Stegostoma tigrinum: one gene and its partners. The protein of the gene in region 3 purifies or fractionates together with the protein of the main gene of each other region. This does not show direct contact. Links are inferred from orthologs where the notes say so. Each region holds a gene or a part of one and is shown on either strand. Other genes may lie near its edges.

Region 1 (7,555 bases), on a different chromosome or scaffold from region 3:
ACCTACGCATTCACACACACACACGCACGTACGCATTCACACACACACGTACGCATTCACACACACACGTACGCATTCACACACACACGTACGCATTCACACACACGCATGTACACATTCACGCACACACGCGCATGTACGCATTCATACACACGCATGTACGCATTCACACACACATACGTACGCATTCACACACACACGCACGTACGCATTCACACACACACGTACGCATTCACACACACACGTACGCATTCACACACACACACGTACGCATTCACACACACGCACGTACGCATTCACACACACGCACGTACGCATTCACACACACGCACGTACGCATTCACACACGTACGCATTCACACACGTACGCATTCACACACACGCACGTACGCATTCACACACACGCATGTACACATTCACATACACACACACACGCATTCACACACACATGTACGCATTCACACACACGTACGCATTCACACACACGCACGCACGCATTCACACACACGCACGTACGCATTCACACACACACGTACGCATTCACACACACACGTACGCATTCACACACACACACGCATGTACGCATACACACACACACGTACACATTCACACACATGCATGTACAAATTTACACACACACACGCATGTACGCATTCACACACACGTACGCATTCACACACACACACGCATATACGCATTCACACACACACGTATGCATTCACACGCACGTACGTATTCACACACACGCACACACGCATGTACGCATTCACACACACGTACGCATTCACACACACATGCACGTACGCATTCACACACACGCACGTATGCATTCACACACACATGCACGTATGCATTCACACACACGTACGCATTCACACACACGCATGTACACATTCACACACACACGTACGCATTCACACACATGCATGTACACATTCACACACACACGCATGTACGCATTCACACAGGCACGTACGCATTCACACACACATGCACGTACGCATTCACACACACGCACGTATGCATTCACACACACATGCACGTATGCATTCACACACACGTACGCATTCACACACACGCATGTACACATTCACACACACACACATGTACGCATTAACACACACACACGCACGTACGCATTCACACACACACACGCACGTACGCATTCACACACACACACGCACGTACGCATTCACACACACACGTACGCATTCACACACACACGTACGCATTCACACACACGCATGTACACATTCACGCACACACGCGCATGTACGCATTCATACACACGCATGTACGCATTCACACACACATACGTACGCATTCACACACACACGCACGTACGCATTCACACACACACGTACGCATTCACACACACACGTACGCATTCACACACACACACGTACGCATTCACACACACGCACGTACGCATTCACACACACGCACGTACGCATTCACACACACGCACGTACGCATTCACACACGTACGCATTCACACACACGCACGTACGCATTCACACACACGCATGTACACATTCACATACACACACACACGCATTCACACACACGTGCACGCATTCACACACACGTACGCATTCACACACACGCACGCACGCATTCACACACACGCACGTACGCATTCACACACACGCACGTACGCATTCACACACACACGTACGCATTCACACACACACACGCATGTACGCATACACACACACACGTACACATTCACACACATGCATGTACAAATTTACACACACACACGCATGTACGCATTCACACACACGTACGCATTCACACACACACACGCATATACGCATTCACACACACACGTATGCATTCACACGCACGTACGCATTCACACACACGCATGTACGCATTCACACACACGTACGCATTCACACACACATGCACGTACGCATTCACACACACGCACGTATGCATTCACACACACATGCACGTATGCATTCACACACACGTACGCATTCACACACACGCATGTACACATTCACACACACACGCATGTACGCATTCACACACACACACGCACGTACGCATTCACACACACACACGCACGTACGCATTCACACACACACACGCACGTACGCATTCACACACACACGTACGCATTCACACACACACGTACGCATTCACACACACGCATGTACACATTCACGCACACACGCGCATGTACGCATTCATACACACGCATGTACGCATTCACACACACATACGTACGCATTCACACACACACGCACGTACGCATTCACACACACACGTACGCATTCACACACACACGTACGCATTCACACACACGCACGTACGCATTCACACACACATACGCATTCACACACACGCACGTACGCATTCACACACACGCATGTACACATTCACACACACACACACGCATTCACACACACGTGTACGCATTCACACACACGTACGCATTCACACACACGCACGCACGCATTCACACACACGCACGTACGCATTCACACACACGCACGTACGCATTCACACACACACACGCATGTACGCATACACACACACACGTACACATTCACACACATGCATGTACAAATTTACACACACACACGCATGTACGCATTCACACACACGTACGCATTCACACACACACACGCATATACGCATTCACACACACACGTATGCATTCAAACGCACGTACGCACTCACACGCACGTACACATTCACACACACGCACACACGCATGTACGCATTCACACACACGTACGCATTCACACACACACGTACGTACGCATTCACACACACACATATGTACACATTCACACACACACATATGTACACATTCACACACACACGTACGTACGCACACACACACACGCACGCACGTACGCATTCACACACACACACGTACGCATTCACACACACACATGCACGTACGCATTCACACACACACGTACGCATTCACACACATGCATGTACACATTCACACACACACGCATGTACGCATTCACACAGGCACGTACGCATTCACACACACATGCACGTACGCATTCACACACACGCACGTATGCATTCACACACACATGCACGTATGCATTCACACACACGTACGCATTCACACACACGCATGTACACATTCACACACACACGCATGTACGCATTCACACACACACACGCACGTACGCATTCACACACACACACGCACGTACGTATTCACACACACACGCACGTACGCATTCACACGCACGTACGCATTCACACACACACGTACGCATTCACACACACACGTACGCATTCACACACACGCATGTACACATTCACGCACACATGCGCATGTACGCATTCATACACACGCATGTACGCATTCACACACACATGCATGTACGCATTCACACACGCATATATGCATTCACAAACACACACGTGTGTTTGCACACACGCATGCACGCATTCACAAACACTCACATGCGTTTGCACAAATGCATGTATGCATTCACAAATACACAAATGCATGTGCACACACGCATGTACGCATTCACAAATACACACACATTTGCACACACGCATGTAAGCATTCCACACTCCTACCACTCTTTGAGTAAAGAGCCTACCTCTGACGTCTCCCCTGTATCTACCTCCACTCACCTTAAAACTGTGTCCCCTTGTAAAAGCTACTTACAACCTAGGAAAACATCTCTGGTTGTCTACTCTATTATACCTCTGATCACTTTGTACACCTCTATCTAGTCACCTCTCGTCCTTTGTCGTTGTAAAGAGAAAAGCCCTATCTCTCTCAACCTTTCCTCGTAAGACCTTCCCTCCATTCCAGGCAACATTCTGGTAAATCTACTCAGCAACATTTTGAATGCATCCACATCTTTCCTGTAATGAGGCGACCAGAACTGGACACAATACTCCAGATGTGGCTGAACCAGGCTTTTGTATAGCTGGAGCAAAACTTCATGGCTCTTGAACTCAATCCCTCTGTTAATGAAAGCTAACACACCATACGCCTTCTTAACAACTCTATCCACCTAGGTGGCATTTATATACATACACACACACACACACACACACACACACACTTGCACACATGCATGCATACATATGCACATACATACACATGTACACAGATGCATGCATGTAGAAATGTATATGTATGTAAACGTTCATGCATATATATCACATATACATGCATACACACATATATACATGCATTCATGCACATTTACACGTACACACACGTGCAGACATGCATTCACACATATACATGCTCACACCTGTACATTGACAAACACACAGACATATACACATACATACATAACGTCAGCTATCTCACCAAAGGAACACACAGTCCTGACGCCGCGCCGGCGATCCTCATCACCCCATGACGTCATCCATTCGGGCGGGCTGTCGATCGATGATTGACATGTGGAGACCCCACCCCTCCGTGGTTTGGAGAATGAACGGGCGCTTCGTTCTGAGTGGGCGGGGCGGACTATTCCACTGATGGAGAGTGGTTTTGAGGGGGGGGGGTGTCAGTGTTTTGGGTGGATGCCCTCCATGTGGTTGCGTTTGGTTTGTCCGAAGACTGACGTCGACGTTGAATGAAATTGGTGGTGCTGCTCCCGAATGTCTTAGCGAAGTGAAAAGAAAGGGAGAAAGAAAAAAGAAAGTTTAACTAAGGGCACGGTTACCGGCCCGTGTGCCAATTTTTATTTTGTTTTGAACAAGGCAGATCAATGGAAATTCATGGCATCTAACTTGTTGCGGCCGGAACGCTGTTAAAGTGAAAGAGCTAGAGAGGCGCCATTTTGTTCCTTTTTTTAATTATAAAAATAAGAACACTCCTCGCCCCAGCTCATCAACCTAAGGAAGGGAGGGATTATGGCGAAAAAAACCTACGATTTACTCTTCAAGTTGCTGCTGATCGGAGACTCCGGAGTGGGGAAAACCTGTGTGCTTTTTAGGTTCTCGGATGACGCCTTTAATACCACTTTTATCTCCACAATAGGTAAGTGAGGGAGAGAGGGCGGTCAGTGCCTCCGGCCCAGGCCCAGGCCTGTTCAGCTGCCGCTGTCTTGGGTGGGGGCTCTGGGCGGATGTCCGAACCACAGTTTGGGCCTTGCGCCTGATCTTACAGTTTTTTTTGTTGTATAAATAACAGGATTGTCCAGTGTAATGTAGTGAAGCCTCGGCCAGGGGGAGTTTTAGGTTTTTTGAAAAAAACTGAAAACGTATGTGTCCCTCAACATTTCTTCTGCTCATGGTGGCAGGATGTGCAGTTAAACCTGCTGAGGTTGATATTTGTCCAGAAACACCATTTGGATCATTTCGTTTGTTTTTTTTAGTGTGTATAAACTGTGTTTTGTGCCAGTATGGTTTGTCATTGCTTTCTGAAGCGCCGATTGCATTTTAAAACCAAGCTGCCGTTTTTATGCTAAACTTGGTTAATGGTATCTTGGCCTTTTGGAAATCGTTTTAAATGGTTTTAGGGCTTCTAATTTGAGCGTTTTTCTACTTTACAACAGCACTATACATAAAGCGTTCTGGTTCGAAAATTGGTTACGGGAAGGAGAAACAGTCAGAAAAATCGCCTGTTCTTAGGTTGGGCGGTTGTCACTGGTGTGCTCTATTGCCAGGTCCTAATTGTTCATCATATGTTTCAAGAATTTGGGTGTGGGGACTATATGTAACATTTCCAAGTTTGCAGATACTACAAAACATGATGGGAATGTGTATTGTGACGAGGATGGAAAGATGCAAAAGGGAGATTCAGGCAGGCTATGTGAATGAATAAAAACGTGGTAAATGGAATATAAAATCTCTTAAAATTATGGGAGACTAGGAAGTGCTGATGTGCAAAAGTCACAGAGCACGTTGTTAGGAAGGCAAGTAGTATATTGACCTTAATGTGAGAGCATTTTAGTTCAGGACCAAAAAGATTTTGCTGCCAGTTTTTGGAATCTTGATGGCAGTGCACCTGGAGTAGCATTGTGTACAGTTCTGGTCTCTTCCAAAGGAAGGATGTACTTGCCAGTGAGAGAGAGAGAGAACAAAACTGATTTGCCAAATTAATTGCTGGGATTTTATGATTGTCTAAGTAATGACGAGGCCTATTATCATTAGGTTTAAAGGAATGAAAAGTGACTTAATTGAAGGTTCTTTAAGAACTTGTCAAGATAAATGTAGGAAGGATGTTTCTTTCAGCTGACGTTGTCTAAAACCAGGTGACACAGTCTCAGAATAAGAGGTAGACCAGATAGGGCTGAGATGAGGTGAGATTTCCTAGCTCTGAGTTGTGAATCTTTGAAATTCTCTAGCCAAGAGGATGTGATGATTTATTTGGAGTGTGTTTGAGACTGAGGTCAGTAGATTTTTAGGTTGTTGAAGACAAAGGGATAAGAAGATTCTGTGGGAAAATTGCATTGCTGGAGATCATTAGTTCAGTGATTAAGCAGACTCGAGAGACTGAGTAGTTTATTGCTGATTCTCTTCCTGTTTTTAAATGTGCTTTCATTTTAAACAAAAGGATTAGTTTATTGACAATTAATTTCTTTTAAACCTGTTTAGGACAGTTGGTTGAGAAAAGGTCAGGTAGCTAAAAAGTCATAGTATGACTGGAGATTTAATCTCTGAATCTGTACATATAAATATGAAGGCTGCTGAAAATTTCCCAAGTTGTTATATTTTTTAATAAATATGTTTCATTTAAATATAGTTTGCATTTTAACTTCTCAGTTAACTAACATGGCCTAATCAGAGGAAGTGATAAATTCTTGTTGGATACAGTCTAGTTACCATAGCTCAGTTGTTAATTTGGTTGTGGGTGTGGTCAGTTGCAAACAAAGTACTATAAATCATTTCCACAGTTTGCTATTTAGCTCCTTGTGCCTCTTCGGACTCTGAATGAAATCATGGTTGATCAGGGATCTGGTGCTATGTCCGTTGCTGGACTTTATTAACCTAAGCTTTCAGTCTTAAATTTAGAATTAACAATTGACCTAGAATGGCAGAAGAGAATTTCAAGCATTTGCAAGCTTTTGTGTGAGAAAATATTTCCTAATTTTATTCCTGAAAGGTCTGGTTCTAGTTTTTGATTCTCCCACCTCTTCCTAGGCTCATCAAACAATAGTTTCTTTTAGCTAGTAAATTTTTTTGGGGGTTTAGTGTCCAGATTGCTTGTTGTGCCTCACATGTGATTTAACTAGGGCTTTGTATAGCTGTAGCATGACTTCTGTTCCTTTGTGTTGAAGTTTGCATTAGATTTGAAGGCCAGCATCCTATTAGCCTTTCTAGTTATTTTCTGGACCTGTCAGTGTCTTTAGATCTGTCATTTCTAGCTTTTAACTATTTTTTAAAAAAATGAAGTATGTTTACAGGTCAAAAGTGAGAGTTCATGTTAGGCTATGTTGAAATTTGTTTGCCAACATGAAGTCCATTTGCCACTGTTTTGCCTATTGAATTAATTGATATCCTTTGTAATTTTTACTTATACCCATCCATTTTCTAGCAAGCTTGGATTTCTTCATGTCATTTAAATTACTATTAAAGATGGTGAGACCTCTGA
Region 2 (6,957 bases), on a different chromosome or scaffold from region 3:
ATGACTTTCCACATCAAGCAGATGTTCACCTGCACATCTGCCAATGTGGTATACTGCATCTGCTGTACACGGTGTGGCTTCCTCTACATTGGGGAAACCAAGCGGAGGCTTGGGGACCGCTCTGCAGAACGCCTCCGCTCGGTTCGCAATAAACAACTGCACCTCCCACTCCCCCTGCCATTCTTTAGCGACATGTCCGTCCTGGGTCTCCTACAGTGCCATAATGATGCCACCCATAGGTTGCAGGAACAGCAATTCAAATTCCACTTGGGAACCCTGCAGCCCAATGGTATCAATGTGGATTTCACCAGCTTCAAAATCTTCCCTCCCCCCCACTGCATCCCAAAACCAGTCCAGCTTGTCCCCGCCTTCCTAACCGGTTCTTCCTCTCACCTATCCCCTCCGCCCACCTCAAACCGCACCTCCATTTCCTACCTACTAACCTCATCCCATACCCCCCCGACCTATCCCCTCCCTACCTCCCCACCCATACTCTCCTCTGCACCTGTCTTCTCCTCTATCTATCTTCGGTCTGTCTCCCCCGCTCTCCCTATTTATTTCAGAATCCTCTCCCCATTCCCCCCTTTCTGATGAAGGGGCTAGACCCGAAATGTCAGCTTTTGTGCTCCTAAGATGCTGCTTGGCCTGCTGTGTTCATCCTGCTTCACACTTTGTTATATATAATCAATCTTTGATGATTGGTTGGCAGTTAAATCATTATCAATAACATGACATTCATACAGCACTTTAATGTATGTTAGCATTGCATGCTGCTTTATGAGCATGTATTCAGGCTGAAATTAGCCAAAGTGACAAATACCAGGACGGGTGGCAGTGGAGTAGGACTCCTGAGCAGGACCTCATCCACTCTATCTGCTTCTTTTCTGTTTTTCTCACTATTTTTGCATTTCTTTCCATTCTGTTTACACCTTGCATTCTTGGGTGGCATCAAGGACATCCAGGGTAAAAGCCAGTGCAGACTCATGACCTCAGCACGGATCCAGAAGCCCAGCCCCGGCGCGGACCCAGGCTCCTGGCCTCAACGTGGACTCAGTGCGGAATCGATTTCCCAGCCTCAAGGTGAAGCCTGGTGTGGTGTGGGTTGGAAGGACTGTTATTCTGACCTCTTATTCCTCTACTTTTCTTATTTATTGCTGGACATTTTATTTCTTTATTTTTCTAAAATTTTCCTTAAGAATTTGTATTTCATAATCTGTACCTGGGTACTTGGTACTGAAGATGGTGCCATAATTGGTGACTTGTAAACTTTCACTATACTCATGTGAGGACATGTGACAATAAAGTTAATTCTAATTCCATTTCTAATTCTAAGGTGGTCAAAAGCTTTTGATAGCATTTAAAGAGGGTTTTGTCCATTAAAGGAGGAGAAAGAGAGGCAGAGAGGTTTAGGGATGGAATTCCAGAGCTTAAAATGTGCTAAAAACATAATCACAAAAATGGATCAAAGGACGTTGATGCATGAGAAACTAGAGTCGGAGTAATGCAGACATCAAGTTTCTCTTACGCACTCATTCACTCGTGCCTGCATTCTCTCTCTCACTCACTTACATACATCTACTGCCACTCACTCACTTACTCACTCACACATCCACTCTTTCAGCCACACAGTCAGTCAGTCACCCATTCATTCGCAGAAATTGGTAGCAATAAACCAAAGGAGTCCTGGGGAAGCAATGGAATAGAGAAGACTGTGATATTCTGCAATTGTACAGAACAACCTTCACTCTATGTCTACCTAAAACATCAGTGTTTACTAGCCTCAGTTCACTATCTATACTTGCTTTTCCAGTATCCAAAACTTGAGGACAACTTAAAACATTTCGTATCATTTCCTTGACCAGGAGCCAGAAGTACAATTTTAACTCGGTCTTTCCAGAATCTCAAAGGGCACCTCACCTCCCTCTGATTCTATTTTCTCTCATTGACTTTGGTTTAATGTCACCTAAAATTTCAAGTTTGGTCAAACTTGATCTCCTATCCTTCTGGCTATGTTATTTTAGTTTCTCGCAATGACAAACATCTCTTTAGCAGATGTTTTAAAAGTTTATGTTCATTAACTTACGTATATATTTCAGACACAGCATTTCATCCAAAGTATTTTACCTGAACTGAAAGCTGAATATTGGAACTTTCAATGTTAAAATGAGAACACCTCCCATCTTTATGAGCTCTCTGGAATTTAAGCCCGGATACAAAGCATATTAAATATGTGTCTGATGAAGGTCTCTGATGAAGGGTCTAGGCCCGAAACGTCAGCTTTTGTGCTCCTGAGATGCTGCTTGGCCTGCTGTGTTCATCCAGCCTCACATTTGATTATCTTAAATATGTGTAATGGTTTGCTCATGGTGGACCTATACTTGAGTCCACTATAATTGGATGCAGACCAAAAGTGTCACTGTTGGGAAGGGAGGTGTAAACTTGTAATGTGCATTTCTTTACATAAGCAGAAAATTACATCAAGATTTGTTCAGATCTATTCATCCCCATGTGGTTTTCTGGGACAGAACACAAACTGTACAATCGCCCCTGCAGCCCTGATTTCCTGGCTCAGATAGTAGATTTCTGGAAAATGAGCCTGCAAAAAAAAATTGCTTAAGGGAAAACAGATATATGTTGCTCAGTGTTCAGTTCTTGGCAGTACTATAATACAAAGGCCTAGTGGCAAAGAGTTGGGTGGGACCAGCAAAAAATCCAAGCCTGAAAACTGGTGAACTAATCTAAGATGATTCCATGAGAGTGCAATTTATTTTGTTTTAATTCATTCATAGGATGAGGGCATCACTGGGTGGGCCAGCATTTATTTCCCATCCCTAATTGCCCAGGGTGCAGTTAAGAGTCAACTACATTGCTGTGAGTCTGGAGTCACATGTTGGCTAGACCAGGTAAGGATGGCAGGTTTCCTTACTTAAAGGACATTAGAGAATGAGATGGGTTTTCTAGACAATCGGTAATGGGTTCATGGTGATCATTTGACTCCTAATTCCAGATTATTATTGAATTCAAATTCTACCATCTGCTTTGGCCAGATTCAATCCCAGGTCCCCAGACCATTATCCGAATGTCTGGATTAATAGTCTAGCGATAATATCACTGGGCCACCACCTACCCCACATTATCATACCCGGGGAATTCAGATGGAGTAAGGCTGAATTGTTAGGGAGATTACTTGGTGATTAAATCCTACATTTTGGGGAGCTGAACTCTACCTTAGGGGGCCCAGACTTGTGGAGGATTGTTGTAAAGACCTACTTGGTACAGTAATGCCCTACAGGGAAGGAAATCTGCCCTTCTTACCTGGTCTGGCCTACATGTGACTCCAGACACATAGCAATGATGTTGAAAATGACATAGCAGGTCACTAAATTCAAGAGCAAGTACAGATGGGCAACAAATGCTAACCAGTCAATGATGCCCACATCCCATTAAAGAATTATTCTAAAAGTAATAACTGGAAAAATTCAGCAGATCTGGGAGCAAATGTAATGAGAGAAAGCAGAGATCACATTTCAGTCCACTCTGAAGTAGGCTTACTGGACTCAAACTTTAATTCTGTCTCTCTCTACAGATGCTGCTAGACCAGCTGAGTTTTTCCAGCAATTTTCTGTTTTTGTTTCAGATTACCAGCATCTGTAGTTCTTTATTTTAGAGACTGCAGTGGTTTGGGGCATGGAGGAGTAGACAGGAAATCAATGAGATTCACGTCCACATTGCTGACGTTAGTGTAACTGTCCCAATTTAGAACAATCTGTAGTTACAGACCATCGCCTGTTGGGGAACGAGGAGTTGAAGAAAGAAATGACTACAATCCCCAGTTGTCATTGCGGCGTTGACGTTCACGCACGGCGCCCGCGTACGTCGGACGAAAGCCAATCAGCCGTAGAGCATGTGATTGGCGTGAGGCCCCGCCCCCAGCGTCCGCGCACGCGCAGAGTTCTGGGTTTCACCGTCGGCTGCAGTCAGCTCCCGCCCGCCATGGCCAAGACGTACGATTACCTCTTCAAGCTGCTGCTGATCGGCGACAGCGGCGTCGGTAAAACCTGCCTCCTTTTCCGCTTCTCGGAGGACGCCTTTAACACGACCTTCATCTCCACCATAGGTGAGTTCGGCAGTGAGGGAGGGATCGGGGGGGGGGAGAGCGCCAATCTCGGGGCCTGCCGTTTGCTTTAGGGGCGCCCCAACTCATCCCCTCCCACCCCCATCCTACCCCGCCATCACCCCCATCCTACCCCGCCATCATCCCCATCCTACCCCGCCATCACCCCCATCCTACCCCGCCATCACCCCCATCTTATCCCCCCGTCCCCCCATTCCCCCATTTTCCACCCCCACCAGCCCCCCCCATTTTTCACCCCCACCAGCCCCCCCCATTTTTCACCCCCCCGCCCCCCCCATTTTTCACCCCCCCCGCCCCCCCCATTTTTCACCCCCCCGCCCCCCCCATTTTTCACCCCCACCGCCCCCCCCATTTTTCACCCCCACCGCCCCCCCCATTTTTCACCCCCACCGCCCCCCCCATTTTTCACCCCCACCGCCCCCCCCCATTTTTCACCCCCACCGCCCCCCCCCCATTTTTCACCCCCACCGCCCCCCCCATTTTTCACCCCTACCGCCCCCCCCATTTTTCACCCCTACCGCCCCCCCCATTTTTCACCCCTATTCACTCCCCCTCTGACTGTCCACTTCTTCCCTCCCCCCATTTTACCATCTCCTGTATTTCCCCTTACCTGCCTCCACCCCCAGGTCTCCCCCACAGCTGCCCCTGTCCCACTTGATGCCCATGGCCCTCCACCCCCTCTGACCCCTTGCGTGTTCCCTGCTAAACCACCTCAATCTACTCCTTCCTACCACCTTTCCATCTCTTCCCTACAGCTCCCTCAACCTCCGAACCCCTGCTTCTATTACCCCACACTCTCTCCTATCTCTATAAACAAGGCAAGTTCCCAATTAAAAGACTTTTGGTTCAGGCAGTGGGATGCCAGAAATTGGCCTGATGTTGAATAGGGTGAAAGAGTCTTTATGTGATTCTTGGTGGCCTCTGTGGAGCAGAACCTCTTGTGTGGCACAACTCTGTGAATCTGCAGTTTCAAAGTACGAGCAGGAGAGCTACTGCTGAGACACATTTGAAACTTGAATATTAAGTATCAGATATTTGCTGGAATTTTGGAAGTAAAGATCTGAATGAAATTTGTTTTGGAATGTAATTGAGCAAAAATACTAATTTAATTGAGTTAGAAGTTAGAGGTCAGTGTTTCAGGTTATGTTTTTTTTGCCCAAGTTGCAAATGTTTTAAAATATTGTACAGATTTGTGGATACTTTAGTGCTTTGGTCAGTAGTAAACTACTTTCAGAAAAGCATATTATTTTGTAGCATGTTTCAAAAATAAACTTCATACTTAGGATGTTTGAAACCAAATTGAATATTGTTTCGTACACCTGTGGAGATATTACTACTTGTCTCAACTGAGCTTTGAAAATTTATACTAATTCAAAAATACTTCAGTCACCTTTTTTGGGAAAAAATGCCATTTTTCTATTGCATACAAGTCTCAGTTAAATTGTTTGTTTTTTTCAACACAAAAACTGACATTTGCTTCTCGGAAGTGGTCTTTCATTTTTGATTTTCTCAAATGAAATATTTGTGCTTCCTCTTGAGAGATTTGGTGGTTGCTTAGAATCAGAACATGAGTATGTTAGCAGATGATCGCAGTGTAATAGTTACAGAATCTTTTCATATGTTGATTCCTTGGTCAGTGTGGAGGCAATGGCCTACTGGTAATATTGGACTATTAATTCAGAGGCCCAGGTAATGTTCTGGGAGACCCGGGTTCAATTCCTGCCATGGCAGATGGTGGAATTTGAATTCAATAAATATCTGGAATTAAGAGCCTGATGACTGTGAATCTACTGTGGATTGCTGAGAAAACCAACTGGTTCTCTAAGGTCCTTGATAACAAAGTGTGAAGCTGGATGAACACAACAGGCCAAGCAGCATCTCAGGAGCACAAAAGCTGACGTTTTGGGCCTAGACCCTTCGTCAGACTTCATCTGCTGTGTTCATCCAGCTTCGCACTTTGTTACCTTGGATTCTCCAGCATCTGCAGTTCCCATTATCACTAAGGTCCTGAACTGGTCTAGTTTACATGCGACTCCAGACTCTTAACTGCCCTCTGGGCAATTAGGGATGGGCAATGAATGCTAGATAGTGACACCCTCATGGGATGACAGGCATTTTTATATTCGTTCATGGAATGAGGGTGTCGCTGTCTAGCATTTATTGCCCGTCCCATGAATGAATATAAAAATGCCTGTCAGTTTGTCGAGATGGGGCCCCAGTAGTGGTACTGGTGAGTGTTTTATGGTGATGGATTTAAAATTGTAGTACAAAATGAACATATGTTACTGTATTATCTTGCCTACTGTTTCTCCTGCAGTATATTGTTAAGCCTTTTAATATTTACTAGGAGTACTGAATAAACTAACATCAACTGTGAACTTTATAGCTAGGTATGATGTATATTCGCTGCACACTTCAGATCTTTTCCTAAGGTACATTTACATTTAACTCTAGCATGTTCATGCAATGTGGTTGTGGCTTGTACAGATAACTGAAGTTGTGTGTGAATTTGAACTGAAATTTGTCCTGACTTTAGACAGGATGTGAATGTAGTGTAGTTCCAGTGTTGCATCAAGTTGATGCTTTTTAAAAAAAAGCGAAACAAACATTTTCAATGAACTGCAGGTGCATTTTCAAAACAGCGGACATCCCCTCACCACCACCAACCATCTGCATGCAGAGCAGGGCTAAAGGGCAGTCGTTAATATGGCTGAGACACTGATTATAAGTAGTGCCTATGTTAATCTTATATTTTTGCCTTTATTTATACATAATTAACTTTTTTATTTAACAACCCTTAACAAAAATTTGTTGTGAAAACC
Region 3 (7,767 bases):
GATGAACACAGCAGGCCAAGCAGCATCTCAGGAGCACAAAAACTAACGTTTCAGGCCTAGACCCTTCATTAGAGAGGGGGATGGGGAGAGGGTTCTGAAATAAATAGGGAAAGAGGGGAGGCGGACTGAAGATGGAGAGAAAATATGATAGGTAGAGAGGAGAGTATAGGTGGGGAGGCAGGGAGGGGATGGATCAGTTCAGGGAGGACAGACAAGTCAAGGAGGCGGGATGATGTTAGTAGGCAGGAAATGGAGGTGCGGCTTGGGGTGGGTGGAGTGGATAGGTGAGAGGAAGAACAGGTTAGGGAGGCGGACACAGGCTGGGCTGGTTTTGGGATGCAGTGGGGAAGTGGAGATTGTGAAGTCCACATTGATACCATTGGGCTGCAGGGTTCCCAAGCGGAATATACTGTATCCCAAAACCAGCCCAGCTCGTCCCCTCCCCCACTGCATCCCAAAACCAGCCCAGCCTGTGTCCGCCTCCCCCTCTCTCCCTATTTATTTCAGAACCCTCTCCTCATCCCCCTCTCTGATGAAGGGTCGAGGCCCAAAACGTCAGCCTTTGTGCTCCTGAGATGCTGCTTGGCATGCTGTGTTCATCCAGCTTCACACTTTGTTATTTTAGAGATCTGAAATGTTTTCTATGCCACTGAGCTGCTGACTGTTGAACAGATCCTAGATAATTAAAGATATGATCTTACAGTTCTTGGACATCTCCCAGTAAATATCATTTTGAAGTAGGTGAAAGTGTATGACCAACTCAACATCTTCCAAGGAGAGTTTCAGCTGTCCTCAAAGAAATACAAGACAGATCAACTTGCAGCCCCACTGACTCAGAAGTCCTAAAAGAAAAGGATAGAATGATAAGAAGGCTAAGATATTGTTCTTTGAGGTAATGGCAGTTAATTGTAAGCAAGTCAAAGCAGAAGAGGCAGTAATCACACAACGGAAGAAAATATATGTTAAGAGAATAGAGCAAGAAAACAAAAGAAATTGAAGATGGCTGGATCAAGGGCATATACTGATGGTAAACGACTTTGCTTGGATCTTGGCAAGGTGAAAGTTGTTGCAAAGGTGTAAATACAGTACAATGATTCATCAGATTTTTGATGAACTGTTTAGCAAAATTCTTGCCTGATTTGTCATCAGAGTGCAAACATCTGTGCAAACTCACTGCCCAGGATTTGCATTGGTATTCATTCACAGAAAAGAAGCAGCTTAACTCAAATCAAAAGACTAGTAACAACAGTTCAAAATGCTTTGGAAGTCATAGTTGAAAGAACAATATAGAGGTTTATAAAATAATGAGGGGTAGATAGAGTTAATGCTCATTGTCTTTTCCATAGTGGAGGGTTTTCAAGACTTGGCACCACATTTTTAAGGTGAGAGGCGAGAGATTTAAAAAAAGACGAGGGTTAAGTTTTTTACGCAGAGGGTTGTTTGCATGTGGAATAAATCTCCTGATGAAGTGTAGGTACAATTACAATGTTTAAAAGATATTTGGAAAAATATATGAATAGATATGGGCCAGGAGCAGGCAGGTGAGACGAGTTCAGTTTGGGATTATATTCGGCATGGATTGGTCTGTGACATGTAACTGTTTGAAAAGAACATCACCCTAGGAATGAACAGATACCAGACAAACTGGCAGTTACTCAACTAAATCTTATCAAAAGACCTGAAAACCTCAGAGAAAACAAGTCAATGCATGCACATACAGACTGATGAAAGTGGGATAGACTAGAATTTTCAGTTTTGTTCATGAGTGATCATTTTGGGTGACCCATAGCTGCTGAAAATAGTGCGTACAATTTTCTTTCTCTGTCTAAAAGGGGATGTTTGCATCTGCGCATTGTACCTACTAGCTGATCTTCCTTTGGTCATGTGACCTCAACATCTACTGTAATTTGCTTTCATTCGGGTGTGGCAGCCATTAAACACATAATTTGAAACAAGGGTTATGCAGATCAGGCCAGAGAAGAGGAGTTCCGGCCAGAATCAGATCAGCAATTATCTTATTAAATAGTGGCAGAGCAGGCTTAGGGAGCTGAATGGACTTCCTGCTCTGATTTCCTACAAGCTTGTCTTACTATTGCAGCATGAAGAGAAATGACGTTGGTCCCAGCCATTCCTAAATCTGAGCTTTTTTAAATTTAGCCCATTATGAAACAACTTCGTCATCATTTATTTTTAATTTGGGATAACAGTAAATAGAATCATGGAATGTCATTTTATTGTTTGGATTTTATTGTAGATCAAATACTTAATTCCTGACTTTATCTTAGGGCCTCTGCGTAAATCAAATTCAAGTTTTCATGTTTGACATACTTAAGAATTTTGGCCTGTGAGTTGTAGGTGAATTCAGTGTGTCCAAGATTCAGGTATGAAACATACAAGCTAACCACGTCGAGTTACAATTATGCAATGCCTTAAATGTAATCAAATGTCCCAAGGCAAATCACAGGCAAGTTAAACAACCAAATTTAATGCCAAGCCATGTAAAGCAACATTGTGGCAGAAGGCCAATAATTTCATCGAAGAAGGTTCAAGGAATGTCGCAAAGAAATTTATGAAATTTTTTTTAAAAATTCACAGAAGGTGGCATCTCTGACTAGGTCTGTTTTTATTGCTCTTCCCTCATTATCCAGTGTCAACTCTATTGTTGTGGGTCTGGAATCACATGTAGGCCAAACCGGGAAAGGATAGCAGGTTTTCTTCCCTAAAGGACGTATAGTAATCTTAGTATCAGAGATAATGGGAACTGCAGATGCTGGAGAATTCCAAGATAATAGAATGTGAGGCTGGATGAACACAGCAGGCCAAGCAGCATCTCAGGAGCACAAAAGCTGACGTTTCGGGCCTAGACCGGTCGTGAGACAGGTTAGTTTTACCCTACTGATGATGTGTTGTTGCAATAGTAATCCTGCTCAGTACGAGAGGAACCGCAGGTTCAGACATTTGGTGTATGTGCTTGGCTGAGGAGCCAATGGTGCGAAGCTACCATCTGTGGGATTATGACTGAACGCCTCTAAGTCAGAATCCCGCCTAAACGTAAGGATACCCTAGCGCCGCGGATCTCTGGTTGGCCTGGGATAACCGACTCCGGTCGGTGCGTAGTGCCGTTCGATTCTGGGCAGGAGCGCGGCCGTATGGGCGCCACCTCTCTCCTCTAGACGCACCGCATGTTCGTGGGGAACCTGGTGCTAAATCATTCGCAGACGACCTGATTCTGGCTCAGGGTTTTGTAAGTAGCAGAGCAGCTCCCTCGCTGCGATCTATTGAAAGTCATCCCTCGAGCCAAACTTTTGTCGGTACCGTGCAAACCATCCGTTACGACCACGCGAGGGTCCCCCTACCCGCAACCGTCCGTGACCTCGCTTCGACGTTCCGAACCGCACCTCCAGCCTGACAGCGCTGCGAAGGGTCTAGGCCCGAAACGTCAGCTTTTGTGCTCCTGAGATGCTGCTTGGCCTGCTGTGTTCATCCAGCCTCACATTCTATTATCTTATTATAGTAATCTTGCTGAGTTTTAAGGTAATCGACTGCAGTTAGATTATTTTTTAACTCCACATTTTTTTCTGAATTCAAAGTTTATCATATGTTGTAATGGAATTTGAATCAGATCATTATTGTGCATTCTAAATTATTAGTCCACGGACATTACCACCACTACTATTCCTACTCCTCCTTCCACTATCAAAATTTTAGTGGTTTAGTCAGCTGAAAATATAACCACCAGTGGAGGAAGTGTTAACATCTGGGATGCTCAAGAAGCAATTTCAAAAGATTGTGAAACTGCAGGGAATTACAGTGATATGGAGTGGTCAGGCCATTGAAAATGTGGCTAAGAACAATAATATCTTTGATGAGGGTAATAATTTAAATGGGAGTGAACCCTATTTGCCTGCAAACTGCACTTGTTCCCTTAAATTTCTACCACCTAAACTGAACAGCAATTTACTGAGAAATTCTAGAGTCTCTAGAACTGCAAATAATTGCTCCTGATAAAGAAGGTCCTTTGATGGAGACCTGAAAGATTGTCTCTGTTTCTCTCTCCACACCTGCTGGGATATCCAATTTTTTTTTAAGATCAGTTCCTTGCTTCAATTTAAAGACGATCCTTATAATGTTATTTTCTTCTTTTTTCCTCCTCCTTAATACAGTTGGAATTATCTTTCAATTACCATGTCTCCTGAGCATCCTGGCAGTTGCACTGGGCCTTGTATTACGCTTGCATGCAGACGAATGCTGTCAATGACATTTTGAAATGGAGGACTGTGTTCTGAAGAAGGATCACTGGACGAAACGTTATTCTACTTTCTCTCTCCACAGATGCTGCCGGACTTGCACAGTTTTTTCAGTAATTTCTCAGTAATTTCTGTTTTTGTTTGTAGAGAATAGGGAATTGTGCCCTACTTTGGAACTACGTCTCCCATGCTTCATTGCGGTGCATATTATCCAGCACACAGACTCTGACCCCCCCGCTGTGGACTACAATCCCCAGAAGTCCCACGGGTTGTACGCCTGCGCAGTGCCCCGTTGTATCCTGGCCGTCGACGGTGGCACTACTTTTTCTTCGGACTATGTCGAAAGAGGGGGAAGGGAATTCCAGAATACCTCGATGTTTCGTTGCTTTTCACCCTCGGAGAACTTTGCTTATCCTTCAAATCAATGTCCCGAGGCATTCTTGTCGATCCCGAGACGAAAAGGCGGTGAACTCTTCGGAAAAAAAATAAGGCGCACTATTGGCTGATGGCGGATGGACACCGTCTGAAGTGCGGGTAGTGTCACGGCATATGGTGATCCGCTCCATCCAGTCAGCTTCAGCCCAGCCCAGCCCTTCCACAATAAACCTCAGGTTTTTAACCAAAAATTAACGGTGGTACAGTGAATAACAAGTAAAAAAATGGATGAAGAATATGATGTGATTGTCCTAGGGACTGGATTGAAGGTGAGCCTTTATTCTATTATTTAACTAACAGCCTTTCTCTCCCCACCCCCGACTGTGTGATATTAATATTTGATGAATAGGTGGAGGAAATGGAATTATAGTGGCCTGTTGACTGGATTGCTGCTGTCATGTAGATTGTCCAACTTGGATATTGTAAAGAGAATTATTCACTAATATAACGTTTCTTAAGCCTTTCTCAGATGCAGCATGCACTGTGGGTGTTGGTTTGCTACATAAATCTCAGAATGGTAAAGTTTAAAGTTATTATTGAGGCGGGGAAAACTCGTCTCAAATCTTGCCTAATTTGACGTGTGTTTCGAGCATTCCCTTGATTTTTGAGAATTTTTTTTTTAATTTTTGAAAATTATTTTTTGAAATTTTGAGAGTACCTTTAGAGTAATCCAGAGGCTTAGGGACAGGAGCTGAAGACTACATTGGTGGCTTTTTGAATTTTGATTCGAATTAAAACATATTACTTGTAATGGTGGTTGGAAAACACTGCTTTTTGTTTAAAAAAAATCAAAGCCACGTTATTCATAAATGCCCTGCATGTGATTCCAGAGCCACAAGAATTTGGGATGGGCAGCAAATGCTGGCCTTTTATTACCCACACTTTGTGAAAGAATTACAAGGCTATGAAATGGGGGAAAAAATCAATAGAAATAATACCGAAGTTAACCAAATCTTTGAGAAAAGGAAGCCCCTTGTTTTTCTTCAATCAAAAATTAATGCCTAAATTGTTTACTCTATTCTTCCATTAGTGATGTAGAGAGATTTTTATCCATGTATATATTCCCTACATCAATGTTTTTGTTCATTACAAGTCACAGACTATTACTTTTAAGCTCCTGTTAAAATGTCTCATTGTTATTAACATCGAGTGGCAGGAATCAATCAGAATTGTAGAATGCCTGCAGTGTGGAAACGGGCCATTTGGCCAATCTAGTGCACACTGAACCTTCAAAGAGCATCCTGACCAGATCCAATAACCCCTCCCAATCATCCCTGTATTTCCTATGGCTTGACCATGGAGCCAGCACAATCCTGGACACCATGGGCAATTTAGCATGGCCAATCCTGCCCATCTTTTGGACTGTGGGAGGAAACTGGAGCACCTGGAGGAAACCCGCGCAGGCACGAGAAGAATGTGCAAATTCTACAGACGGTCGCCTGAAGGTGGAATTGAACACTGAGGCAGTATTGTGAACCACTGAGCCACCGTGCTGCCCTGTGCTTTAAGGAACTGGCTTTAAAGTTAAAAAGCAGTCAATAAATGATTGCAGACCAGCCAATGAAATACTGTGAAAAATGTTATTGTTTTCCAGTTAGTAAATCCATTAATTATGTTTCATCTTTTAAGATGATGGCTGGTCTATCCATTACTCTCTACCTTCAATGGTCACTGTTGTCCTGTTTCCCCAGTGGTGTAGTTTCAGTAGTTTATATTTTCCCAAGGCCTGGCTTATCCCTATCTTTTAAAGTAAACTCTGGTGTTGCAAGTCTTCACCTCCTCACTGACCCTGAGGTTTTATTGTATCCCTGACTTTCTTTGAGCCTATCATTGAGAATCTCTCCTTCATATTTCTTGAATTATTTCGTTCTCACCCACACCTCCCTGGTTTCATTTGAACCCCTTAAAACCTATTTCTTTCAAGCAAGCTTTTGATTTTTTTTCCCATTTATTCTTTTGATTTGTCCCTTTTTTCCCCCTCCCTCATCGGTGAAACGCTTACAACACCATTTTGCCAGCCAAGAGCCAAATTCATGGAAATTTCTTCGTTTCCTGTGGCAGAGAGAAAAGTAAAACGAGAACCTGTTTTGTGGGATAACAAGGTGTAGAGCTGGATGAATACAGCAGGCCAAGCAGCATCAGAGGAGCAGGAAAGCTGATGTTTCGGGTCTAGACCCTTCAGAAAATTCTAGGCACGAAACGTCAGCCTTCCTGCTCCTCTGCTGCTTGGCCTGCTGTGTTCATCCAGCTCTACATCGTGTTATCTCAGATTCTCCAGCATCTGCAGTTCCTGCTACCTGTTTTGTGGGTGCTGCCTTGTTTTCCTTGTGTGAGTAGAAATGTATATAAATATCAGTACAAGTGTTTGGTTTATTTATTAATATCTGAACTTGTGCTTTTAAAGGAACCTTTCCTGCAAATTTGTAATACATTTTATGAAAAAAATGCTTTTATGATAAAAAGTTTACTCTTCATCATTCTTGCTTATTGACTGAATTCTTGGTCAAATGCTGCATGAAATCTTAGGCCTGCCATTTAAAATGGAGTCTTTGTTTGTAGAGTCTGTTTGTTTGCCTGCAGGAGGAACATGTGACTGCTTTAAACTGATTCTGTCTCATCTTTTATGTTCAATTCATGATGTATGCATCTATGATTTGGAACATAGATTCTGTAGCTCTGTATTTGTATTTGAGTGGGAAAGAAAGACTGTGTGCCTTTTGACTTGTTAGAGAACTTAGCTGTCTGAATTTTAGGATATTCTGTGATATTGCTGGTCTTTTAAATATTCATGATAGGAGGGCTGTATTTACAGAAGATCTTTGTCTTTCAACACTTCTCCCAGCTGGCCTAACCTACTTTGGAATCATACCTTATGTTTCCCCATCACACCAATTTTCTCTCCCATGGGCAGTGGTTTTAAAATGGAGTGTGGTTCTGTAAGAGTTGAGTGCTGATGACCAAAACGGTCATTTGCGAGCCTTTCATCTGTAGTCGGCCTTAGTCTACAAATAGTAGGAATGCCAGTAACCAGTTCTCCTTCCTAATTACTCCATCTGAGTGGATTTTGTCTACTGCATCATAGGAT
Region 4 (7,154 bases), on a different chromosome or scaffold from region 3:
AGGATTTCTAAAAACATTCCAATCATAATTGTAAATCAGGAATTGAAAGGAGAGGAATTTAGCAAAATTATAACTATAATTAAAGAACATAATAGCCTTTATTGTCATAGCTGCTCAATGAGTATAGTGAAACATTTACTCGTCACCAATTACAGTGAGAACTTACATACAGAAGTACTTATGCACACCTTCTTTTGTTACAAGATTTTAGACAATAAAGAAATAAAATGTCCAATATTACAGAAAAATGTTCAGTACAGTGGACCACGCTGGCACTTAGCTTCCGGTCTGCACAAGGCCCTGGCTTCATGCTGCGGAGGCAACATGGCACACTGGGAGGCCGCTGTAGGAGGCCAGAAGGTCACCACACTACGCGGGAAACTGCTACAGGAGTTTGCTGCATCGCCAGAGGCTAGGAATCATCGTCGCAGGCCAGGGATCATCGCTCCTCGCCAGAGCTCATCGGAGGTCACCAGACACCAGGAGTCAAAGGGAAAAAGCAGCAGAGAAAACAGTACCAGGAGGAGGAAACAGAGAAGCAAAAGAAGAACAGTCGGTGGTGTGGATGAGCTCTGGTTGGAGTGTCCTGCTCTGCTGCCATCTTAACTGGGAAATACCAAGCAAACTGATGGAGCTGCAGGCTGACTAGTTTCCCAGTCCAGACAGATTTTATCCTGGGATCTTAAAAGAGGTTGTTAATGAAGTAGTGGTTGCTTTGGTGCTTAGTTTTAAAAATTTCCTCAACTTAGAAACATTGCAATCAAACTGGAAGGTCGCAAATATAACTCAAATATATGAAGGTAAGGAGGGAGAAAACAGGAAAATATAACGAATTATCTTGATGGGGAAATCAGAGCAGGATTATGGGAAAGTTGTTGGAATAAAATCATTAAAGAGATTTTAGCTGCACAGTTGGAAAAATTCAAGGTAATCAGCAACAGTCACCATTTGGTCAATGGGAAATCTTACTCAATTTATTGTGGTTTTTTTGAGGTGTACCATTTACTGTAAATAAAAGGGAATCTGTAGGTGCAGTCTACCTGGATTTCCAGAAGTCATTTGATAAGGAACTGCATCAAAGTTTATTGTTGAAACTGCTAGCTCACTGTGTAGAGATAACAATATTAGTATGGATGGAAGATTGGTCCACTGGCGGAAGGGAGAGGGTATCCATAAATGGGTCTTTGTCTGATTGGCAAGATGTTATGAATAGAATTCTACACCGTTCTCTGCTGGCGCCTCAACTTTTTACAATTTATATTCCTGATTTAGAGGGGGGAAAGCAAAGGCATGGAGGCTAAATTCATAGAAGACACTATGATAATTAAGATAGTTTGTTGTGAAGAAAACAAAGAAATTGTACATAGATTTAGATTGTTTAAGTGAATGGGGAAGAATCTGGCTGATAAGGTATGATTCAGAAAAATTTAAATTGGTCACTTTGGTAGAAAGAATAAAAAATACAAGGTATTCCTTAAACATAAAACGATTTCAGAATTCTGTACTGTTGAGGGATTTTAGTTTTCCAGTAAATGTGACACAAAGAGTTTGTCAGTCAGGCAGCATCAGAGGAGGCATCTCCTCACACTTTTCATGCATTGAATCTCATCTTTCACCGATCCACTCACTCCACCAACTTGTCAATGTCCTTTTGGGGTTCCATACTGTCCTCCTCACAGTTTACACTTCCAAGTTTTGTATTTTCTGCTAAATTTGAAATCGTTGTCTTGCATACCAAGATCTAGATCATTAACAAATATCAGGAAAAGTAAGGGTCCCAATACCAAGCCCTGGAGAACATAGAAAAACATCTATTGACCATTGCTTTCTGTTTCACCTCCACCAGTGCCCTCTTTGGTCCTCACCAATGCAAGTAACACCGATGCCGATGGGTAAAACACCAGCCCAAACTCAATTGCACCAACACTTTGAGTCCACTTTAGGCACACTTTGCCAATGCAGCCACTGCTGTTGCCACTGGGTCTCATACTGCACTGAAACCCGTCTCTGCTTCTACCTCCATGAATCTGCGCTGAACACACAGACGCTGCTGGGAACACAAACTGACCTCTGGCATTGCTACCACAAGTCCAAGGTGCAGTGCAAAAGTTTTCCACGTCTCCTAGGACAGTATCTTCCAAACATAAAACCACTTCCATTTAGAAGGACAGCAGACAGATGGGAACACCACCAGGAGTTCTGGGTCAAAATCCTGGAAACGCTCCCTGACGGCAATGTGGGGCAACCCACAGCGCATGGACAGCAGCAGTTGAAGAAGGCTGCTCACCCCAACCCCCTCCAAAAGCAACCAAGGGAGGGGCAATAAAATGCTGGTTCAATCAGTCACACCCCCATGCCCAATGAACGAATAACCATAAAATCGTGCCAGGTGTAAAAGGAGTTCCAATGGGGAAGGGAATTTCTTCCTTCCATTGGGGAATGGAGTGGGAGAAGAGGGGTGGATTCTGGAAGAAATGGAAAGTGGGGATTTGGCCAATGCTCTCCCTTATCTTGCCACCTGGAAGCAACTCTCGCCCACAGACAATGACGGCCACTCTCCTGCGGAAACTTTTAGATCCATCCCGCTTCTCAACCCCTTTCCCTCACCCAACCGCATGCACAACGTCAACTACCACATGCTCGAGAGCGCGGGAGGATTGAGCACGTGCTCTATTGTCAATCACATCCATCTCCCTGCCCCCATGCTCCACTTTCATGTCATTCTGGCCTATCATTGCTGCTCCTTCCCCACTAAGGAACCCGATGTTGGGCGTCTACTACAGTTTATCCAACTGGGGAAGGAGTGGGAACAGCAGCTTCAAATTCTTCCCTTCCACCATCACCATGCCCCCACCACACTCTCCAACAGCCAATTTCCTGCCCACAAAATCCGGCTAAATCATGAAATTTTCAAGCTCATCTGCATCGCATTTAATCGGCCATTGGCAGGAATGAAACAGAAGTGAATAAAATTTCCATTTGATGGCAAGAGAATTGCAGTGTATTTTTACAGGAGTCATCATGATACTAGAGCCCGAAGCAAAACATGAGCCACCTGCCTGGTTTGAGAGAAGTGGCTGTGAATGATTCATTAGATTGCCACCCATAAACCATGTTATTGCTGGCAGAGATAATGGGAACTGCAGATGCTGGAGAATCCAAGATAACAAAGTGTGGGGCTGGATGAACACAGCAGGCCAAGCAGCATCTGAAGAGCACAAAAGCTGACGTTTCGGGCCTAGAGCCGCCTTCAGAGAGGGGGATGGGGAGAGGGTCCTGGAATAAATAGGGAGGGGGGGGGAGGCTGACCGAAGATGGAGAGAAAAGAAGATAGGTGGAGGGGAGGTAGGGAGGGGATAGGGCAATCTGGGGAAGACGGACAGGTCAAGGAGGTGGGATGAGGTTAGTAGGTAGGATATGGAGGTGCGGCTTGACATGGGAGGAAGGGATGGGTAAGAGGCAGAACAGGTTAGGGAGGCGGAGACAGGCTGGGCTGGTTTTGGGATGCAGTGGGGGGAGGGGGAGATTTTGAAGCTTGTGAAGTCCACATTGATACCATTGGGCTGCAGGGTTCCTAAGCGGAATATGAGTTGCTGTTCCTGCAACCTTCGGGTGGCATCATTGTGGCAGTGCAGGAGGCCCGGGATGGACATGTCATCCAAAGAATGGGAGGGGGAGTTAAAATGGTTCGCGGCTGGGAGATGCAGTTGTTTATTGCGAACCGAGCGGAGGTATTCTGCAAAGCGGTCCCCAAGCCTCCGCTTGGTTTCCCCGATGTAGAGGATGCCACAAAAACAGAGAAGAATGGGATGCTAGAGAACTGGTTAAGACATCTACACTATTCAAATTGTCTTCTTTATCATTCCAAATTTTAAGATACTTTGACCTAGCCTTGGGCTGTCAAATTGTACATTTTTAAGTGGCTTGGGGCCTGTTGTGAAGTAGTTTGAGATCTTTAAGTATATTAAAAATACTCCATAAAGACAACCAATGTAAACGCCTATCTAGCATGGGCGAAATCAACTCCTGAAACTCACTGCTGCCTTTCACCCTATCGCAGCGCCGCCCTGGCGGTTTGCCGCGGTGTTGCAGCTCCGGGGCTCCACCTGTGAGAGTGGGACGGGGCGTGACGTCAGGCAGCCCGCGCAGTGCTATGTGGGATACTGGAGGGTTCGGACCTGGCCCTCCGGACGGCGGAGTGTTGTTGGCGGAAGGGAAGAGGCGACAGTAACGGGTAGGAGGAGGGACAGCGGGGGCCGATGGATCGGACAGCCGGAGCCAAGAGGCGAGGGCCCGGCGGGGGAGGCCTGAGCTCCAACTCCCGGTCCCTTTCGTCCAACAGCCTGCCGGTTGCCGGCGGGGCCTCCCCGAAGCCCAGTCCCGCTAGCTCGCGGCGCAGGAGGCAGCCTCCTCGGCCCGCCGACTACAAGCTGCAGGTCATCATCATCGGCAGCCGGGGAGTTGGCAAGACCAGCCTGATGGAACGCTTCACAGACGACACCTTCAGCGAGGCCTGCAAATCCACTGTCGGTAGGTCTGGGGCTGGGTCTGGTGGGGTGGGGGTGGTAGGAACCTCTCCCAATCCCTCCCCCGATCCCAGCCCCACTCCCTCCCCCGATCCCAGCCCCACTCCCTCCCCCGATCCCAGCCCCACTCCCTCCCCCGATCCCAGCCCCACTCCCTCCCCCGATCCCAGCCCCACTCCCTCCCCCGATCCCAGCCCCACTCCCTCCCCCGATCCCAGCCCCACTCCCTCCCCCGATCCCAGCCCCACTCCCTCCCCCGATCCCAGCCCCACTCCCTCCCCCGATCCCAGCCCCACTCCCTCCCCCGATCCCAGCCCCACTCCTTCCCCCGATCCCACTCCCTCCCCAATCCCCCCCCCCCCATCCTGGACCTTGTGCCCCCGGAATTCCCACTTCCGCCTGATTTCCCCCGCGCGCCCCCCCCCCATCATCTTCATCCAGGTACTCCCCTCGACCTACTCTCTTGCCTCTGGAATTCCAACCCCCTCTGTCTTCCCCAGGATCGCACGCCCCCCCCACCTTGTCTACCCCAGGATGAACCACCCCCCCTCCCTTCCCTACTCCAGGTCACCTGTTCCCTTCTCCTAAGACCATACTCTTCCCTGGTCCAACCCAATGTCCATGACCCACATTGTCCAGAGCACACCCTCTCATCTGGACCCTTGTTTTCACAGGATGCATTCTTCTTCAGGACCCTCACTCACCAGGCCTTCCTTCTCTCCCACCTCCTTGAAACCAAATGTCTTGGACCTCTGTCTCCAGATCCTCATGCCTTTGGACCCCCTATCATCTGGGGCCCAGGACCAAGCCACTTTGAGATAACAGGAACTGCAGATGCTGGAGAAGCCAAGATAACAAAGTATAGAGCTGGATGAACACAGCAGGCCAAGCAACATCCCAGGAGCACAAAAGCTGATATTTGACGCCTAGACCTGAAACGTCAACTTTTGTGCTCCTGGGATGCTGCTTTGCCTGCTGTGTTCATCCAGCTCCACACTTTGTTATCTCCCTTCTGTTGAGGACCACCTCCATCCAGTCTTCATGGTACCTGATCTCCAGAAGCACTTGGTTAGCAGGGAGTTGGATGTTTGTTTTAACCACCCTTTTCATATTGAACCTGTACAATAATCTCACATTGCATTGAGTTTGTCTGCAAAGAGCACTTGATGCAGCAGTAACAGGAGAGGATCAACACACTACTTTTATTTGGGATCTGTTTTCTTCCGCTAGTGGTGTCATTAGCGTTGTAGTGTGAGCAGGGAGTAGCAGTTATTGCAGAGTGACATTTTTCCCTTCCTTGTGACACACATCTATGACAACTTGACTTTAATTACATTGTTGACTCCTGCCGATGCTCTAAACTCTGGTATTTCCTTGCTAAACCTCTTTACTTTTCCTGTCTTCAATTGCTCTGTCAATTTCTGTTTTTGCTTCTGAAAATACGTTGACTGAGCATTGACTCTAATATCTCCTGTCGTAGCACAGTGTCCAGTTTGGTATCTTGCTTTGTTTTACTGTGTTAAAGGCACTGCGTGAATGCAACCTGTTGTTGAATCAATTTGTCATCCACATATATTAAGCACCTGTCAATATTCTTGGAAGGTTCTAACATGTTTATATTTGAGTAATTTGACATGGGTATTTTTGACATGATTTTGTTAATTCTTGAATTTACTTTGATAACTATTTTGCATCATAAACACTAATTCTGAGATTTGGAATTTCTCTTGTTTCCCTATTCCCTATATATGAAAAAAAGGGTTGAGTCATGCAGCATGGAAACTAACCCTTCGGTCCAACTCGTCCATACTGACCACGTTTCCCAAACTAAACTAGTCCCATTTACCTGCATTTGGCTCATATCCCTTTAAACCTTTCCTATTCATGTACCTGTATGAATGTCTTTTAAATGTTGTAACTGTACCTGCATCTACCACTTCTGGTAGTTAATTCCATACACGATCTACCCTCTGTGGAAAAATTTGCTCCTCGGGTCCCTTTTAAATCTTCCTCTCACCTTAAAAGTATAACTGCTAGCTTTGAACTTCCCTACCATAGGAAAGAAACCTTTGCTATTCAACTTATCCATGCCCAACAAGATCTTACAATCCCCCAAATCTCCTTTGCTCCCAGCCTATCTAGTCTCTCTATGTAAACTCAAGCCCTCGAGTCCCAGTAACATCCTGTAAATCTTTTCTGCACCCGCTCCAAATTAATAAGGGTAACTAAAGGTAAGGGTTCCTACAGCAGGGTGACCAGAACTGGACACAGTACTCCAAAAGTAACCTCACCAGTGTCCTGTACAACTGCAACATGATGTTCCAACTGCTTCACTCAGAGTCTGAGCAGTGGAGGCAAACATGCCAATTGCCGCCTTTACGATCCTGTCTGCCTATGATGAAACTTTTGAAGAACTGTGTACCTGAACCCATAGGTCTCGCTGTTTAACAACACTCCCCAGGGCCCTACCATGATTGTAAAATTTATTTTCTGACTACTTGGTGAGAAAGTTCAAAAGCAAAATATAAAAGGATGCTTGAAATCGGAAATAAGAACTTGATGCTGTGAATTCTCAAGTGTCCATAGATAGAAATGGTTAATGTAAAGCACCCTTTGACAGAAGCATTC

What was found.
Region 1: the proteins of rab GDP dissociation inhibitor alpha (region 3) and rab10 purify together in Homo sapiens (co-immunoprecipitation; 4 studies listed by BioGRID and IntAct, counting the BioPlex papers as one, with this or other methods). This does not show direct contact. The link is inferred for Stegostoma tigrinum from reciprocal best matches to the Homo sapiens genes GDI1 and RAB10.
Region 2: the proteins of rab GDP dissociation inhibitor alpha (region 3) and ras-related protein Rab-8B purify together in Homo sapiens (affinity purification with mass spectrometry; 3 studies listed by BioGRID and IntAct, counting the BioPlex papers as one, with this or other methods). This does not show direct contact. The link is inferred for Stegostoma tigrinum from reciprocal best matches to the Homo sapiens genes GDI1 and RAB8B.
Region 4: the proteins of rab GDP dissociation inhibitor alpha (region 3) and rab12 purify together in Homo sapiens (co-immunoprecipitation; 4 studies listed by BioGRID and IntAct, counting the BioPlex papers as one, with this or other methods). This does not show direct contact. The link is inferred for Stegostoma tigrinum from reciprocal best matches to the Homo sapiens genes GDI1 and RAB12.

Annotation. Positions count from the first base shown.
Region 1 is NC_081357.1:131,664,880-131,672,434, forward strand, and holds the start of rab10 (ras-related protein Rab-10), read left to right. Parts: upstream 1-4,555; 5' UTR 4,556-4,872; coding exon 4,873-4,999; intron 5,000-7,555. UniProt on the Homo sapiens protein: The small GTPases Rab are key regulators of intracellular membrane trafficking, from the formation of transport vesicles to their fusion with membranes.
Region 2 is NC_081389.1:9,829,024-9,835,980, forward strand, and holds the start of ras-related protein Rab-8B, read left to right. Parts: upstream 1-3,957; 5' UTR 3,958-3,993; coding exon 3,994-4,117; intron 4,118-6,957. UniProt on the Homo sapiens protein: The small GTPases Rab are key regulators of intracellular membrane trafficking, from the formation of transport vesicles to their fusion with membranes.
Region 3 is NC_081364.1:9,593,297-9,601,063, forward strand, and holds the start of rab GDP dissociation inhibitor alpha, read left to right. Parts: upstream 1-4,767; 5' UTR 4,768-4,906; coding exon 4,907-4,951; intron 4,952-7,767. UniProt on the Homo sapiens protein: Regulates the GDP/GTP exchange reaction of most Rab proteins by inhibiting the dissociation of GDP from them, and the subsequent binding of GTP to them. Promotes the dissociation of GDP-bound Rab proteins from the membrane and inhibits their activation.
Region 4 is NC_081358.1:113,911,417-113,918,570, forward strand, and holds the start of rab12 (ras-related protein Rab-12), read left to right. Parts: upstream 1-4,154; 5' UTR 4,155-4,259; coding exon 4,260-4,530; intron 4,531-7,154. UniProt on the Homo sapiens protein: The small GTPases Rab are key regulators of intracellular membrane trafficking, from the formation of transport vesicles to their fusion with membranes.